2 linked regions of the Oryza sativa Japonica Group genome follow. Each later gene encodes a partner of the first gene's protein in a complex. Links are inferred from orthologs where the notes say so. Each region holds a gene or a part of one and is shown in the gene's direction. Other genes may lie near its edges. The genes, in order: general transcription factor IIH subunit 2 and general transcription and DNA repair factor IIH subunit TFB4.

Region 1 (7,974 bases):
GGAAAAAAACACACGGGGCATCAGTTGTACTGTCTGCAATAGGGACGCTCCAACACTGGTGATGAACACATCTTTGAGGACATTGAATTCCTGGACCTGGAGGCTGATGCAGAGCCAAGGTCTGACCTGTGGTTGGCAGATTTGCAGAAACGGTTGCCGAAGGAAGGGAACTTGCAAGAGGAGGAGGGATAGGTTTATGTGTGGAAAATGAGCATGGATAAGCAGCTGAGGACAAAGGCTGGAAGAGTACTGCCAACCATTTATGCTCATTGATACAGTCTGCTTGTACGAATTGAAGTTGCTCTGCAAGTTTCTGAAGAGAGCCAATAGCCCAAGACTACCACACACAAGAGCCAAACGCTGCTCTGAAAATTTCTGAAAGGAGATGACTAGTACAGCTGATTGACATACACAACAGGATGAAGATTAAGATTTTCGTGGCATATTTTTCAAACTGCTAAACGATGCGCTTCGTGCGAAAACTTTCTGTATGAAAGTTGCTATAAAATATCATATTAATCTATTTTTAAAGTTTGTAATAATTAAAACTCAATCAACATACGTTAATATCATCTCGTTTTTGCGTAAAAAAATTAATTTTCATCTTTATCTTTAAGAGAAAAGGAGAAAAGAACATCACCGCATAGTTCCAGGCCTATTATTGCACAGAGGTTGCTGTGCTTCTCAACGATTGCCAGAAGAGATCTTCAGAAAGACCCCAAAGTCTAGAAACTCTTCCAAACATAAGCTAAGGATGTGTTTTTATTTGAGTGTAAAGTTTTTAAAGTATATGAACGCACATTTAAAGTATTAAACGTAGACTAATAACAAAACAAATTACAAATTCCGTATGTAAACTGCGAGACGAATTTATTAAGTCTAATTAATCTGTCATTAGCAAATGTTTGTTATAGCATCACATTGTCAAATCATGGCGTAATTAGGCTTAAAAGATTCGTCTCGCAATTTACATACAAACTGTACAATTGATTTTTTTTCCACATTTAATGTCCTATGCATGTGTCCAAACATTTGATATGATGTTTTTGGCTAAAATTTTTTAGATCTAAACAAGGCCTAAATGATACTTGTGATGGAAAATGCATCAAGTTTATTCACAGATAACAGAGGAACATGCATGAAGATGAAGTGCACATTTCAAGAGGCAGGGAAAATATCAGACTACTTTCATCCTACTGAAGTCAGGGTGTGTTTAGTTCACGTCAAAATTAAAAGTTTGGTTAAAATTGAAATGATGTGACTGAAAAGTTAAAAGTTTATGTGTATAGAAAAGTTTTAATGTGATAAAAAAGTTAAAAGTTTAAAAAAAAGTTTAGAACTAAACTCGGCCTTACCTGATCTTCAGAAAGACCCCGAAGTCTAGAGATGAAAATCTTCTAAACATAAGTCAAGGATCACAATGCGATGAAGAATGCATCAAGTTTATTCACAGATAACAGATTGATGAACATGCATGAAGATGAAGTGCACATTTCAAGAGGCATGGAAAATATCAGACTGTACTTTCATCCTTCTGAAGTTAGCTGATCTGTAGGAAACTAGGAACATCTTAAGGTTTTGATTGGAATTAGGATTAGTCCTAGCTTAGCTGTCATCAGTGGCATTACAACAGAAGCACAGAACAACAACCGTGGAACTGCAGCATTGGAACCTAGTACTGCAAAGTCTGTCGAAGATATTATCAGCGACACCTGTATAACAAAAGCGTGGCACATGAGACATGGATACATTCGCGCATTAGATGCGATGTCGACCAGTCAACCATGTCGATGATATAAACTATAGAGATGAATTTATAGTATAAATACTTACAGATCGCATGAACTTCGTTATTAAAAAAATCGAGGTGGTCAGGTGCCACATTGCCAATGCTGCAATTCCAACTGTCAACATAAAACTATATTTATTTTTATGAAGTGTCTGAAAGTTCAAACATGCACATGTGCAGATGTCTAGTGATTTTATTATTATGCAAAGTACTACAACCTGTATTTCAGTTTATCAAAATTATTCATCAAATTTGCCAACTGAGCTCCCCTTGCGGTAGAACATATCCATCGAAGTTCAAGTTGTAGTCTTAGTATAGGTGCTTTTGCATTTTTTTTCTAGGATTTAATCTGATGAGGTAGTATGCTGGTGCTTGCACTTTCTCGGAGACTTAATCTCCGGAGGCACTGAATGCACATAATATTTGGTGGATAAGTTTATACCCATGTTAAACGAGGCTACTGTTCGAATTTGAGTGTATGTTAGGACTTAGATGCATAAAGTTAGTGTGTGCATATGTCAACTTAACTCGACAAAGGAAATAAGCCTTACATTTGACATAAACCCCTCGTTGGATTACTTTGAGATTCGTTCAAATCCCCCCACGTTAACCCTCTTCCTTTTCTTCTTCCCTCCTCACCGATGCACGACATGCTCGACCTTGACGCCTCTTGTGCTATCACTTGGATGGAAGTGTCATTAATATTGACGGAGCCCTCCCCCCTCTATTCCTTCTCAAGCCAGCAGATGCCCATGATCCGACATTTTCCCCATCTTCGGCTGCTCATAACCACCACCACCGACTACCGCTTCTTAACACAAGCTTGCTTTGCCCCTACCGCGCTCCTTTATCCCAATGGGCGCTGACATCGCCGTTGACGCCTCACTAGCATCCATTGTCCACCACCCCCCTTGGTCCACCACTTCCCATGATCATGCCTCTAAGACCGACGATCTCCTCCCTCTTCCCCAATCCCTACCCTAAATCTAATATGGACCCTAATCCGTCGATTCTAGTTCAGGGTGGCGCCAATGTCGACAAAGAAAAGGAGGTTGCTAAAGCAAGAGGAGAAGAATATAGAGCACAAATCACAAAGCACATCTTTTTTTATCTTAATCACGAAGCACATCTTTTGACCCTAAATCTGCAAGATTTGACGATAACCCCCAAAAAATATTCATAAAATTTTAGATGGGTTTTCAGTTTTTTTTTCAAGTGCAAGCAAGTAAGGCCTCAACCGTCAAGCATGGGAAAGCTAGAAAAGTTAAGGAAAACCCACTCAAAAGCCCAGGAACCCCAAAACCTGGCCCATCTCCCCGGTCCCCGACCTCGCCTCTCCTTCCTCCTCTGCTCCCACTCCGCCTCGCCGCCGCCTCCACCATGTACGGCGTCGGCGGCGGCGGCGGCGGCTTCAACGCGCCCTACACGGCATCGGCCCGGCGGCGCAACCACGAGGACGACGACGACGAGGAGGAGGAGGAGTCCGGCGAGGGGCGCGTCCTCGAGGCCTGGGAGCGCGCGTACGCGGACGACCGGTCATGGGAGGCGCTGCAGGAGGACGAGTCGGGCCTCCTCCGCCCGATCGACACCAAGACCCTCGTCCACGCGCAGTACCGCCGCCGCCTTCTCCTCCGCTCTGCCGCCTCCGCCGCCGCCCGCATCCAGAAGGGCCTCATCCGCTACCTCTACATCGTCATCGATCTCTCCCGGGTTCGTTCCCCCGTGCCTTCTCCTAAGCTTGTCCTCGGGTCAGTCACTCCGTCGAGCACTTGGTGAGTGCGGAGTTTTCCGTGAGCTCGGGTTAGGATCACTGGGGATGGCGGGCAATGCTGATCGTGCTAACCTCTCAGTGTTTGTTAAATGCAACACCTCGTGCCGAGGCTGATCTGGTGGTATTGCCCATGGCCTCAATTTGGTTCGTGTGAAATGTGGACTGGAGGCAGTATTGTTGAATCGGTGATCACTATGTAGTGCTTTTAGCTTGATTTCATATGCTAGCTATTTCAGTGACTAGCTGCGCAATCCTCTCCACTTCCACATCAAGGTTTGATGTTTGAGTTGATGATCTCATCACTCATGTATGATTTGCTAGCTTGTCTTCTTGCTTAGGTGTTCTGCTTTTAGTCCCTGAGAGTGGGTGTTATAATCGGTGCATATCAGGGCAATACTGGAATCTAGCCATTTTTGTTTGCCATTGACCAGGGCCATAACCAGAGATTGAATGGGGGGTTTTCGCCAACCATTGAACGCAATGAAGTTCACAAACTAAAATGAAATTGTATATGGTTTGTATTAAAAATGGTTCTTCTACAATTATAATAGTTTGTTTTGTAAAGGAAAAAAATTCTTGTGCCAAAGGGTCTCCTGAGATCTGTGGTAAATAAAATTCTTTCTATAAATTACTGCACTATGACTCTTATGAGCAAGCTAAAAAGGAAAAGACATATTTCATACCCCATCCCTGTTAGGCTCATGCTAATAGCAATTTTCTCTTGGTTCTGTCCTATCTGAAAACTTCATAGGAATCGGAGGAGCGTGAGGTTTTTCATTATCAAGATTCTGAAGCGGTAAAGCGTTTTGGTTGATCGTCATTTGTTTTATGTCAAAGGAAAGGGGCACCGTACTGCATTACTGCTCCATACCATTTGACATTGTTGGAAAGTGTTTTCTGTTGATTTGAGAACACTACGTATATTTTGTGTATGCATTCATGTGGAAAAAGCCCTTTCTTCCTTTGGGTGATAGGTAGTAAATAAGATCCTCTTTGGCACAGCTCCAGATCTTAGATCCATGGTAGATTTGAAGTTTATAAATTAAATTATAATGGTTTAAAATTCTAAATTTCATTTGAAATGTGCACGAAATAATTTATTTAAATGTTATTAACGTAATCGTAGATCTAGATCCATGGATTTATGGAGCTAGAAATACCTAGCTCCAAGAAATCTTGGAGAGGGCCTATACCATTTATTTTAGCATATGTACATTTTCTTCTCACAAAGTAGGCTGCTCATGATTGTTCTGGTGATGAAGATATTTTTACTGCAAATTGATATGCTGCCCACGACTTCTTTTACTTCTTTGCATTCGGTTGTAATCTCCATTTATCCTGGTTGTATCTTTGATCATGTAGGCAGCTTCAGAGATGGATTATCGACCTAGTCGAATGGCTGTTGTTGCAAAATATGCTGAGGTATTCATAAGGGAATTTTTTGACCAGAATCCCTTGAGTCATGTGGGGATAGTGACAATGAAAGATGGGATTTCCCATCGACTTACAGAGATTGGAGGTAGTCCTGAATCACAGATTAAAGCATTGATGGGGAAGCTTGAGTGTTCTGGTGAACCATCTCTGCAGAATGCTCTAGAGCTTGTCCATGGTTATTTAGACCAGGTTCCTTCATATGGTCACAAGGAAGTATTATTTTTGTACTCGGCCCTGAATACCTGTGATCCTGGAGATATCATGGAGACAATAGCAAAATGCAAGAAATCCAAAATACGATGTTCGGTTATTGGGCTTGCTGCAGAGATTTTTATCTGCAAATATCTGTGTGAAGAGACTGGCGGATCCTACACAGTTGCACTGGATGAGGTCTTAAAATATGCTTTGTGTGTTTACCTTTCCTTATTCAGTTATTGTGAAGATAAATAATGCCTGTTTTATTTTGGCAGTCCCATTTCAAGGAATTGCTTCTGGAACATGCTCCTCCACCACCTGCAATTGCTGAGTATGCTGCAGCTAATTTGATTAAGATGGGTTTTCCGCAGAGAGGAGCAGAGGATCTTATCTCCATCTGCTCTTGTCACAAGAAAATAAAGTCGGGGGCTGAAGGTTACATATGTCCTAGATGCAAAGTCAATGTATGTGAGCTTCCAACAGAATGTCGAACTTGCGGGCTGACACTAGTTAGCTCTCCACATCTGGCAAGGTCCTATCATCATCTCTTCCCTGTACAACCATTTGATGAGGTGTCCTCCGTGCACCCAAATAGACTAGGTCAAAAGGGAGGACAAAAGTGTTACGGCTGCCAGCAAAGCTTTATTAACCCTGGTATGCAGTTCTTTAACACGTCTAACAGTACATGCTACCTTTTCAATGCATTTTCATACAAGGAAAGATATCCTTATTGTGCTACATATGTTGCAGTTGGTAGAAAAAAGAAGAGAAAATACATAATACAAAGCTTACATTTGTTTGTTATTACATGGCATCATGTTCTTCAATTACCAATCCTCATACTTCTCTTACATTTAATGTTTTTCACTGGTTTTTGTGCTAGATTATACTCCCTCTGTCCCATAAAAAACCAACATAGTACTAGATGTGGCATATCCTAGTACTATGAATCTGGACATACCTCTGTTTATATTCGTTGTACTAGAATGTGTTATATACAGTCCTAGGTTCGTTATTTTTTGAGACGGAGGGAGTACTTTGCAATTATCAGGTTTATTAATTATTTATCCAATATCCTTGCAGATAGTCAATCTAGCCTCCATGTTCGCTGTCCAAAATGCAACCAACACTTCTGCCTTGATTGCGATATTTACATCCATGAGAGCTTGCACAATTGCCCAGGTTGCGAGAGTCAGCGTAGTTCTTCATAGGGATGCCATTGTGGTGTTAATCTTTGTCTTTTTAACTCAAGAAGCTACCCGTTGCTGTAAGCTTTCTCGTACACTGACATTGGTAGGCGATGTTGTGAGGTAATCAAACAGTGTACAGATGATATAGTGCCCGGCCTCCATTTTGTTGACGCTTCCTGTTCATTTAGATGGAGTAGCTAGTTAAGCTATTTTGATACAGAGTACTGGTCAAAGAGTTGTTGAAGCCATAGCATTGTTGCTGAGGGGAGGTGTTAGAAATGTACAATGCGACTGAAAAGTGAAAACTTGTAACTCTTGCCGTTTTTCTGAGGCAAAGATGTATTCTTTCAGTGTCATAGTCATGCCCTGACATGCCATTTACGAGCAGAGGCTGTTCCTTTCTTTTTTTTTCCCCCTTCCTCTCCTGATATGCCAATATGCTGGATATCGACGGCTCGACGCACGCACGCACCCGGCGTTTTCCGTTGCTGGTTGCTGACTGTAGAATCGTCAAGGTAAGCAGTTGCCTCGTGCAATTAACTGCACAATTTCAAAGCAGGCGGAGACGCAGAACGAAACGGCAAAACGCTGGAGAGAGCACGATGTTGCTGACCCAAGAGGCTGATGGCTTACGTTTTTTTGCTGCCTCGCAATTCGCTTCTGATGGGCGGAGTCAACACAGATGCTAACTCTGGGCTTTTTCGTTGTTCCCTTTCAGCTTTCCGGTGACGAGCAGTGGCGATCATCATGCATAATTACATATACGCAGCATATCCCTGGTTCCCTACACTCTGATGAAAGTGTGCTTCCTGTGGCTATCATGTCGACTTTGCTAAAGCGAATGGATGACAGGCAGCGGTGCCAGTGCTCCTTTTCACCAGTTGCACGGCCAAGTTGTGGGCACGACGAACTGCAGGCTGCTGCACCGTCCTGTGCGTTTTCAACTGTAGATCACTCGAGTCCACTTGAAAGAAACACAGGTGAGACAGCACGACGGCAACCGATCGACCACGGCCTTTTCCGAGCACTGCACAGTGTGCACACTCTATGGCGCTAAGCCCTTTTCGTGCCCTATGCTGCCTATACACAGTCACTTGCAACTTCCTTTCCTTCAACAGTACGGACGCCTCGCTCATATAAACACATATACGCACATCATATTTTTATAAGAGTAAATTTTACAAAACTACATGTTTTATGGTTCAAGTTGCAGAAAACCACACATATTTTGACACTTGGCATTTAAGTACATATATTTTGGTAGTTTAGTTTCACAAAACCACACTATCGATGAATGGATTCACACATGAGATGACGTGGTTGTTTTATCTAGATGATGACGTGGCATCCTATTAATTTCATGGGATGGCTAGTAATAAGATGCCATGTTCTCGTCCTAGTTGAAACAGTCACATCATCTCGCGGGTGAATTCATTCATTGATAGTGCGGTTTTGTGATATCACACTACCAAAATATATATACTTAAGTGCCAAGTGTCAAAATGTTTATGGTTTTCTACAACTTAAACTACAAGACGTGTAGTTTTATAAAATTTACTCTTTTTATAAACATCTCTAAAGATTACATCGGTATA
Region 2 (7,762 bases), on another chromosome or scaffold:
CGGCCATGGACGGACCAATTTTCTTGTATCGATCCCTAAAGTACGCTTGCGTGCCGTGAAGGATGAATTCAACAATAGCAACCAATGGAAGTACCCGAACTCCTCGCATTACCCAGTTGTACACCTCTGCCAAATTGGTTGTCATTATGCCATACCGAGATCCATCGGTGTCGAACAATAGAGACCACTTCTCCTTAGGCTCATTCTCAATCCACTGAGTGAAATTTCTGATGGACGACCTTGACCTCCTTCTCATTGTTGGTGGGTCATCATGTAATGCACCAAGAGGTATGGGAGGCTCGTCACCTTCAACTAGTGGTCTGCGAGATTGCTCATCTGTTTGCTTCGTTGTCAACTCATCCAACTTGTCCCACAACTCATTAAATTTCTTCTCTTGGTTCTGTGCACAGAGCCTCTTAAAGAGCTCCATAAGATGCTTGTTCTTGAATTGCTTGTAGAAATTTGCACCCATGTGACGCATGCACCACCGACTCTGAACATCAGGCCACTTAGCTGGAAGTCCCTTCTCATCCCAACCGTTCTGCAAGTAGTCAATAGCCCGCAACATACCCTCATGACGATCATGTATAAGGCAAACGTTGGGCCTCATACGCACCACTGCAATGTGCACTCTCTCTAGGAACCAGTACCAGCTTTCAGTGTTCTCACTCTCTACAAATGCAAAAGCCATAGGTAGAACCTGGTTGTTCCCATCACACCCAATTGCTGTCAATATCTGACCTCGGTATTTACCTGTCATAAAAGTTCCATCTATGCATAGAACAGGTCGACAATGCACAAAAGCATTGATGCAAGCACCCAATGAGAAAAAGGCTCTTTGCAGCATACTCTTTGTTCGATCATCAACCGATGTAAATGTATGTAGGTCATAGTACGTATTATTATTCCTCTGGGCAATGGTGGCTAACAAACGAGGCAAATTATCATAAGAAGCTTCAAATGTGCCATACCTCATCTCAATGATCTTTTGTTTGGCTCTCCAGGCCTTTGCATAGCTTATGGTGTACTTGAATTTGTTCTCGATGTGCCTAATAATTGATTTTGGTTCAAAGCCAATGTTACCAACAACACTGCTGTACATCTCACTTGCCACAAAAGCTGAAGTGATGTTTCGGTGATACTTCTCCACCCCTTGTAAGTAGCACTTGTGCTCGGTCACAATGCTAACTTTCCAATAATCATTCCATTTACCCTTATATGCATGGACACGCCACGGACAATCTTCCTTCATGCACCTCACTTCATACACATAATTTGTTGACTTGACCACCCTAAACTCTCTCTGCAAGGAAACTGCCCAATGCTTCACCGCCTCCTTCATCTCATCCTTATGAGCATACCTTGCACCGTCAATTACCTCGTTCTCCTTATACTCCCAGGGTACATGATCACCCTCTGATATAACAAGTCCAGAGAAGTCCTCATTTGCCCAATCAGTGGCCATTACATCACCTTCCTCATCGGATGATGCGTCGTCGTCCGCTTCCTCATTATCCGAATCTTCCCTCTCCATTTCATCAACAATTATACCGACTCTCTCCCCCTCATCCGCCATGCCCATAGCCTGCTCCTCCCTTGGTTGATTTTCCTCATTTTGCATCGATGGTCCAACAACATCCCCTGCATTGATAGGACCCTCTACATCTTCGGTTTGCATTGAAACATTTATATCTTTCTCTTGTACCGACACAAATATAACGAGGGGCCATGACCGTTCAAAAGCCATTTCCACATACCGTCTCCAAGCATCAGTGCTGTCCATCGGCATTAGTTCCCAAAAATAACCTTCTGTTGCACGACTCACTACAACTGACACTGACATTGTGTAGACTTCTTGGTCTATTCTAAATCCTCTCAACAACCAACTATAAATTGACTGAAATGTTCTCTCCGCAGGCCTATCGATGCCCTTAGATGTCATTACAAAATCTGACAGATCAACACCATCTGGACCAAATCTAATATTTCCTTTACCATGAACTATCTGAAATGTGACCTTACTTGACATTGTGCCTGATGAAAACAATAACTGCGTTAACCTCGCATTTCTGTACTACGCCCTAAGTTACATTCTCTACAATATTGTTCTCTAAATTTCTAAAATTACGTTACATTCTCCAGATCAAACTAAACTACATCTTACAATTAACACTACTGTCTATGTCTCAATTCATACTATTATATTCTATGCTCTGGATCTACACATATGTGCTATGTGCTACAGATGTGCTAAAATATATGGAACTAAAACTAAAACGCAACATATATACTCAAACATAACATATTAGTACAAATGCAAAAGATGTATGGGAGCATACCTGTGATGAATTGAGCGAACCAGCAGGGCTTCGCCGCTCCCCTTCTGCTGCCCTCCCCTCTCTCTCTTTCGTTTTTTTTGGATTTTTAGTGAATATAATGAAATTTCACAGAGGAGGGACTGGGCTTTATAGGGGGAGGCAAAAATCGCCCTCCCCCAGGGCGGCAAGGGGGCCGCCTGCAAAATTCCATGCCCCCTCGCCGCCCATTTGCAGGCGCCCCCCCCCCACAGTACAAAATCGCCCTAGCGGAGGGCGGCAAGGGGGCCGCCTGCAAAATTCCATGCCCCCCCTCGCCGCCCATTTGCAGGCGGCCCCCCGCACAGTATAAAATCGCCCTAGCGGAGGGCGGCAAGGGGGCCGCCTGCAAATTTCGTTGACGGCCGTCGCCCGAGAGCGAACGGCCGTCTGCCACGTCATTTTCGCCGCCCTCTGAGAGGGCGGTAGGCGACTACTTCCGTCAATTTTCAAAATGGAAAATTATTTTTGTAAAACTTTTAATAAAAAAATTATAAATAAAAAAAATTCGTCGTCTCTTGCCGCCCCCAAGCGCAGCCGCAACTCCGCCGAGTTCGCCGCCTCCGCCTCCGCCTCCCGACGGCGGCAAGGCAACCGCTCGCGCCGCCGCCGCCTCGGCCCAACCAGCGCCTCCGTTCGCGCGTGTCCGGCCCTGCCGCGACGGCGGTGAGACTGCCATGGCCTCCTCCAAGCTCTACTCCGGTAAGCGGCGCCCGACCGTCTCCGTTTTCTGATCCCTTTGCGTCTCGCTAATCTTCCCCCCTTTTCTCTTGCCTCGTCTCCACCGCGCCTGCGCAGATGACGTCAGCCTCGCCGTCGTCGTCGTCGACACCAACCCCTTGTTCTGGGCCACCGCCGCCCTCCCCTTCGCCGACTTCTTCGCCCATGTACGCCGCGACCTCCCAAACCCTATTTCCCTTCTCGTCCCCCGCTTCCCCTCTCGATTTCTAGTTTTTGATTCACATCTATATCATGGGGATTAACCACGGAAACACGATCAGTATCTAGTTGCATTCACGCTGATCTAGCTAGTTTGATTTTATTCTGACTCCTCCAGAGAGGATCAATCTCTAGTTGCTCGCTGATCTAGTTAGTTTGATTTTGACTCTGAATTCTCCAGAGAGGAGAGGATTTACACTTAATACTGATGCAATTCCGGGGTGTATGTAGCTGATCCACTACGTGAACTCGCTCTTGCTTCTGAACCACCTCAACCATGTGGTCGTCATCGCCGCGGGGCTTAGCTCTTGCACCTACATCTTCGACTCGAGCGATGCTAGTGCCTCTGGTGCTGCAGACGTCGCGGCCACCTTCGCAAAGGCGAGCCGCAAGATGGATGAGTTCATTGCAGAAGACGCCCGTGCCACTAGCAGCAATGGTTCCGTTGCTGATGGCAATGCAGCCTCTCTTCTCTCAGGCGCACTGTCCCTTGCTCTGTGCTGTATCCTATGACTGGTACTGATTTCTTATTGTTAGTGCATTTTCCATTTGTGCTTGTATTTCTTAACATGGAGGATGCTTAGATATACAGAGGGTTTTTCGGTCTGGTACTCGACATCCACAACCTCGGGTGAGTATACACTCTGTGTGTGTTCTAAGTTACCTTTTGTTCTGATTCCTGTTGATATGTTGACCTATGAGAACAACATAGAAGGGAGCATATCAGTTAGCATAAATGTTTACAATGCGCATGCTGTATGGACTAAAAAAACCTGATAGGCATCTGACCCATCACTAATGATATAATTATTTAATTTTCTTTGTTTTCTTGAATTTTTCTACTCAATATCCTCACAACTTATTCTAGTGGCATCATGTATTATGCTAACACGAAATACAGATTTTATGCCTGCAGGGTTCTCCAGATGGACCTGAACAGTACGCACATTCATCGATTTGATTGTGTAGTATATATTTTCTGGAACATGTTTTAACTCAATGAGATGCTGCGCAGATATGTAGCGGTCATGAACTCAATATTTTCTGCTCAACGTTCCATGGTATTGCATGAACTGTCACTATTCCGTACATTTGGGTTCATTGTTCAATTCATTTTATTGATACTCTTGATGTCACCTCACCATTTCACAACTGTAGTGGTTTTAGTGAGTCCCAACTGCAAGTAGCACTACCTCTAGACATGTCTATATGACTATATACATCACCAGTTTCATTGCTTAAAACATTCACTAACAACTTTGGTCCTTATTTTTTTTTTCTATCAAAAAAATTTAGGTCCCAATCGATTCATGCATAGTAGGAACCCAAGACTCTGCTTTCTTGCAACAGGTAATGTTCTTCAGTGCCTTCTTGGTCTTTCTTTCCATTTATAACTTCTTTTACATGTATGCCCCCATAGAGCTGTCTATTCCTTGCTGAATGCTGATCATATACTGGCCTTTCATTTGCAGGCTTCATATATAACAGGTGGAGTTTATTTGAAACCCCAAGAACTAAATGGTCTATTTCAATACCTTGCTGTAAGTCATTCTGGCACTTCTGTAGCAACACACATATTTTCTCATGCAACCATGGTTACATCTTTATAACTGCATGATGCATTTATATAAAGCCTGTGGCCATCTTTTCTGTGTAATAATGAAAAATTAAGAAGGCAACTAACCTCCAGCACATGAATCTGATGTAACTCTTTAAAAGAAAAATGCCAGATCAGCCCATTTTCATTTTGTGAAAAAAAATAATATCAACTTTCATCTAAGGTTGTCTAGGCTCTTCTGTTTTCCTGCCTTTGCTTGAATGTAGAATGTACTAGTAATGTTTGGGAACTCATGCATCTCTAGTGAGTGTGGCTTGTTTAAAGTGTGCACTCAAGCATAATATTTCCTGTATGTCTCAAACTGTCAATCTGGGAAGATCAACACAACTACATCTCTAAACTTTAGTGCCAAATGATTTTGGATGCTACTAGTAGACTACAAAGTTGAATGCCCTCTCAGTGTCTATGTTCATGAGTTCATCTCCTATGTCAAAACTCAATATTTTCTGTCACTAGAGTGGGGCACATAGATACTCCATCTTCCTGGTACTGGTAGTATATCTACCTGTTAATCTAGAATCAGATTCACATATATATGTACAATACACTAATGAACAACAATGGAATCATCAGATTATGGCGTGATAGACTGTGCTGTTTACTTCTGACCCAAATCTATTGCTTCAATATCAGCTTACGTTGACCTGTTTTTGGAATATATATATTAGTTCCAAAGTTGCTCTGTTTTGTGTTTGTCTTTATTCTATCTGAGTAGGAATATTTCTATTTCAGATAACTTGATTAATTTGCTTGAGCTCAATGACTCATTTCTGCAAATATGCAGGCTGTATTTGCAACTGATTTACACTCAAGAACCTTTCTGCGCCTCCCCAAGACTCTGGGAGTGGATTTCCGTGCTTCGTATGTGTCACTCAGTTTCCTCTATTAAGTTCTCTAGGCATTAGGCATATCTCTGTTTCTTCATCTTCTTGAATGCCTTGTGACATAGCTATGAGATGCTTGTTATAGATCTGAAAACATAGCATAATACCAATGACAATTTCAGAAAAATGTGAGAAACATACAGCTAATTTTTTTTGTGAAGTTCTATCTTACCAAAGGCCTTAGGTCAGGATTAGCAGCTCAGTTTATTTTTGTTTTTAAGTTTCCATTCAGTTTGTCTGATACTGGTGGCCTTTCAACTGCATCTAATTTGCTATATTTCTTTTCAGATGTTTCTGCCATAAGAAGACTATTGACATGGGATATGTTTGTTCAGTTTGTTTATCGATATTCTGCAAGTATCATAAGAAGTGTTCGACCTGTGGGTATGTTATAGTTGCTTTGTGTTTCTATTCTTTTGTCTTTTTCCTGAGAGCTTTAATTTGTTTCAGTAAGAATCAGATTGTTTGCTTGTTTAATTTGATGTGCTCCGTTCACAGGTCAGAATTCAACCGTGTCATGCCCGACTTAAATTCTGTACCTGATCAAAGGCAGTAGTCTACACTACAGATGGCGAAATATCAGACTGCAGACTTCTCTTTATGTTCTCCACAGGTTCGTCTGATGTGTCTCTTAAGAAACTTCGGTGCCACTATCTTCTATAGTTAAAAGATCTCATTTGTAAAATATAGACTACTTCATCTGCATTAGCTGACCCCCAGACATGCATTATGCGTTAATGATGATGACATGCACATACAGTGCACGCCATATCTAGTCTAGTTTCAAATTTTACCTACCTTGTGTTCTTATGTGCGTAGGTTCATGCCCGTGCTTTGTTCCATTCTGAAATGTGGTTCATTTTCCAGGAACATCTATCCTAGCATTTTAGCCTCAATGACATGCACATTTATTTCTTAGATACGATACATGATGCTGGATCAGCCTGTCCCTGATTTTGACAGGTTCAACTGATACAGAATGGGCATTGTGTGCATACTTGAAGCAGCGTCAGTTTAGCAAAAACTAGGCAACTGGGCGTAGCAATTTTGTCAACTGATGAGGGAACTCACGCCCGACTTTTGGAATTAGTTTGCCTGCAATTTGTAAAGTTGGCACATGAACTTGTGATGCACCATTTGCAAATGCTCTTTTTTGCTTACCGAAAACAGGACAACAGGTCAAGCTAGTAGATGGCAAATCATTTTTCTTGTCATGGTGACACAGGTTGCGCTAATGTCTTGATATATTACTTCGAGCTCCAAGAACAATTTTGATTTTTAGTTTCCTATAACGGCTGTGTGCACTGCCGATGGAACTGTGCAGATTTGTTCTGGCGCGATGCGATGTTAAAAATGTTGCTACGTTTTTTTTTCAAACGTAGTCAAACCAAAAGAATTTTGATTTAGAAAAGAGTCAAAGCATTTTATAATATGAAGCGGAGGGAGTAACTAGTACAAGCAATTCTCACAAAGAAAACATTCAACCAAGTAACCCGCAGCAACGTTAACCTCTAGCACAGAAACGAGTTCGTACTTTTTACAAGACGTCATAGGTATTAAGATCATCAAAATGTACTGAGCCTCACTAATAAATGGGTTGAGAAAAGGGCTGCAAAAAGAAGTGATACAATACAACATAGGGAGGATTCAGATTCAGATTCCACTTCAGAGCTATTTCTTGGGCTGAGAAGGGGACTCATCTTGCCAGGTTGCCTGCCATTGCTTGTCGTAGAACGTCGTCTCATCGATGAGCTTCTTCACTGTCTCTATGTCCTCGTTTTTCCTGACCAGCAGCACACCAGCCACAGCAACAAACAGTAGGGTTTTGCAGAAGAAGTTGCCCATCTGGTCGACAAGCCCCACGCCGGTCAAGCTATCAACAAAGTATGCCATGAAGAAGCCAATCATGGCAGCACGGCCTGCAGAGACATAAGAGTGTGATGTTAGAAGTGATGAATTCTTCTTTC

What was found.
Region 2: general transcription factor IIH subunit 2 (region 1) and general transcription and DNA repair factor IIH subunit TFB4 share a complex: the UniProt entries of both Arabidopsis thaliana proteins name them as parts of the 7-subunit TFIIH core complex. The link is inferred for Oryza sativa Japonica Group from reciprocal best matches to the Arabidopsis thaliana genes GTF2H2 and AT1G18340.

What each region holds. Positions count from the first base shown.
Region 1 is NC_089038.1:25,934,797-25,942,770, reverse strand, and holds general transcription factor IIH subunit 2, read left to right. Parts: upstream 1-3,078; 5' UTR 3,079-3,169; coding exon 3,170-3,499; intron 3,500-4,922; coding exon 4,923-5,384; intron 5,385-5,464; coding exon 5,465-5,843; intron 5,844-6,272; coding exon 6,273-6,400; 3' UTR 6,401-6,766; downstream 6,767-7,974. UniProt on the Arabidopsis thaliana protein: Component of the general transcription and DNA repair factor IIH (TFIIH) core complex, which is involved in general and transcription-coupled nucleotide excision repair (NER) of damaged DNA and, when complexed to CAK, in RNA transcription by RNA polymerase II.
Region 2 is NC_089036.1:1,353,485-1,361,246, reverse strand, and holds general transcription and DNA repair factor IIH subunit TFB4, read left to right. Parts: upstream 1-2,877; 5' UTR 2,878-3,031; coding exon 3,032-3,056; intron 3,057-3,152; coding exon 3,153-3,241; intron 3,242-3,524; coding exon 3,525-3,795; intron 3,796-3,877; coding exon 3,878-3,924; intron 3,925-4,194; coding exon 4,195-4,232; intron 4,233-4,308; coding exon 4,309-4,354; intron 4,355-4,589; coding exon 4,590-4,643; intron 4,644-4,765; coding exon 4,766-4,834; intron 4,835-5,695; coding exon 5,696-5,772; intron 5,773-6,083; coding exon 6,084-6,179; intron 6,180-6,293; coding exon 6,294-6,351; 3' UTR 6,352-6,408; intron 6,409-6,662; exon of another isoform or gene 6,663-6,758; 3' UTR 6,759-7,087; downstream 7,088-7,762. Other genes in the region: light-harvesting complex-like protein 3 isotype 2, chloroplastic, read right to left, coding at 7,467-7,714. UniProt on the Arabidopsis thaliana protein: Component of the general transcription and DNA repair factor IIH (TFIIH) core complex, which is involved in general and transcription-coupled nucleotide excision repair (NER) of damaged DNA and, when complexed to CAK, in RNA transcription by RNA polymerase II.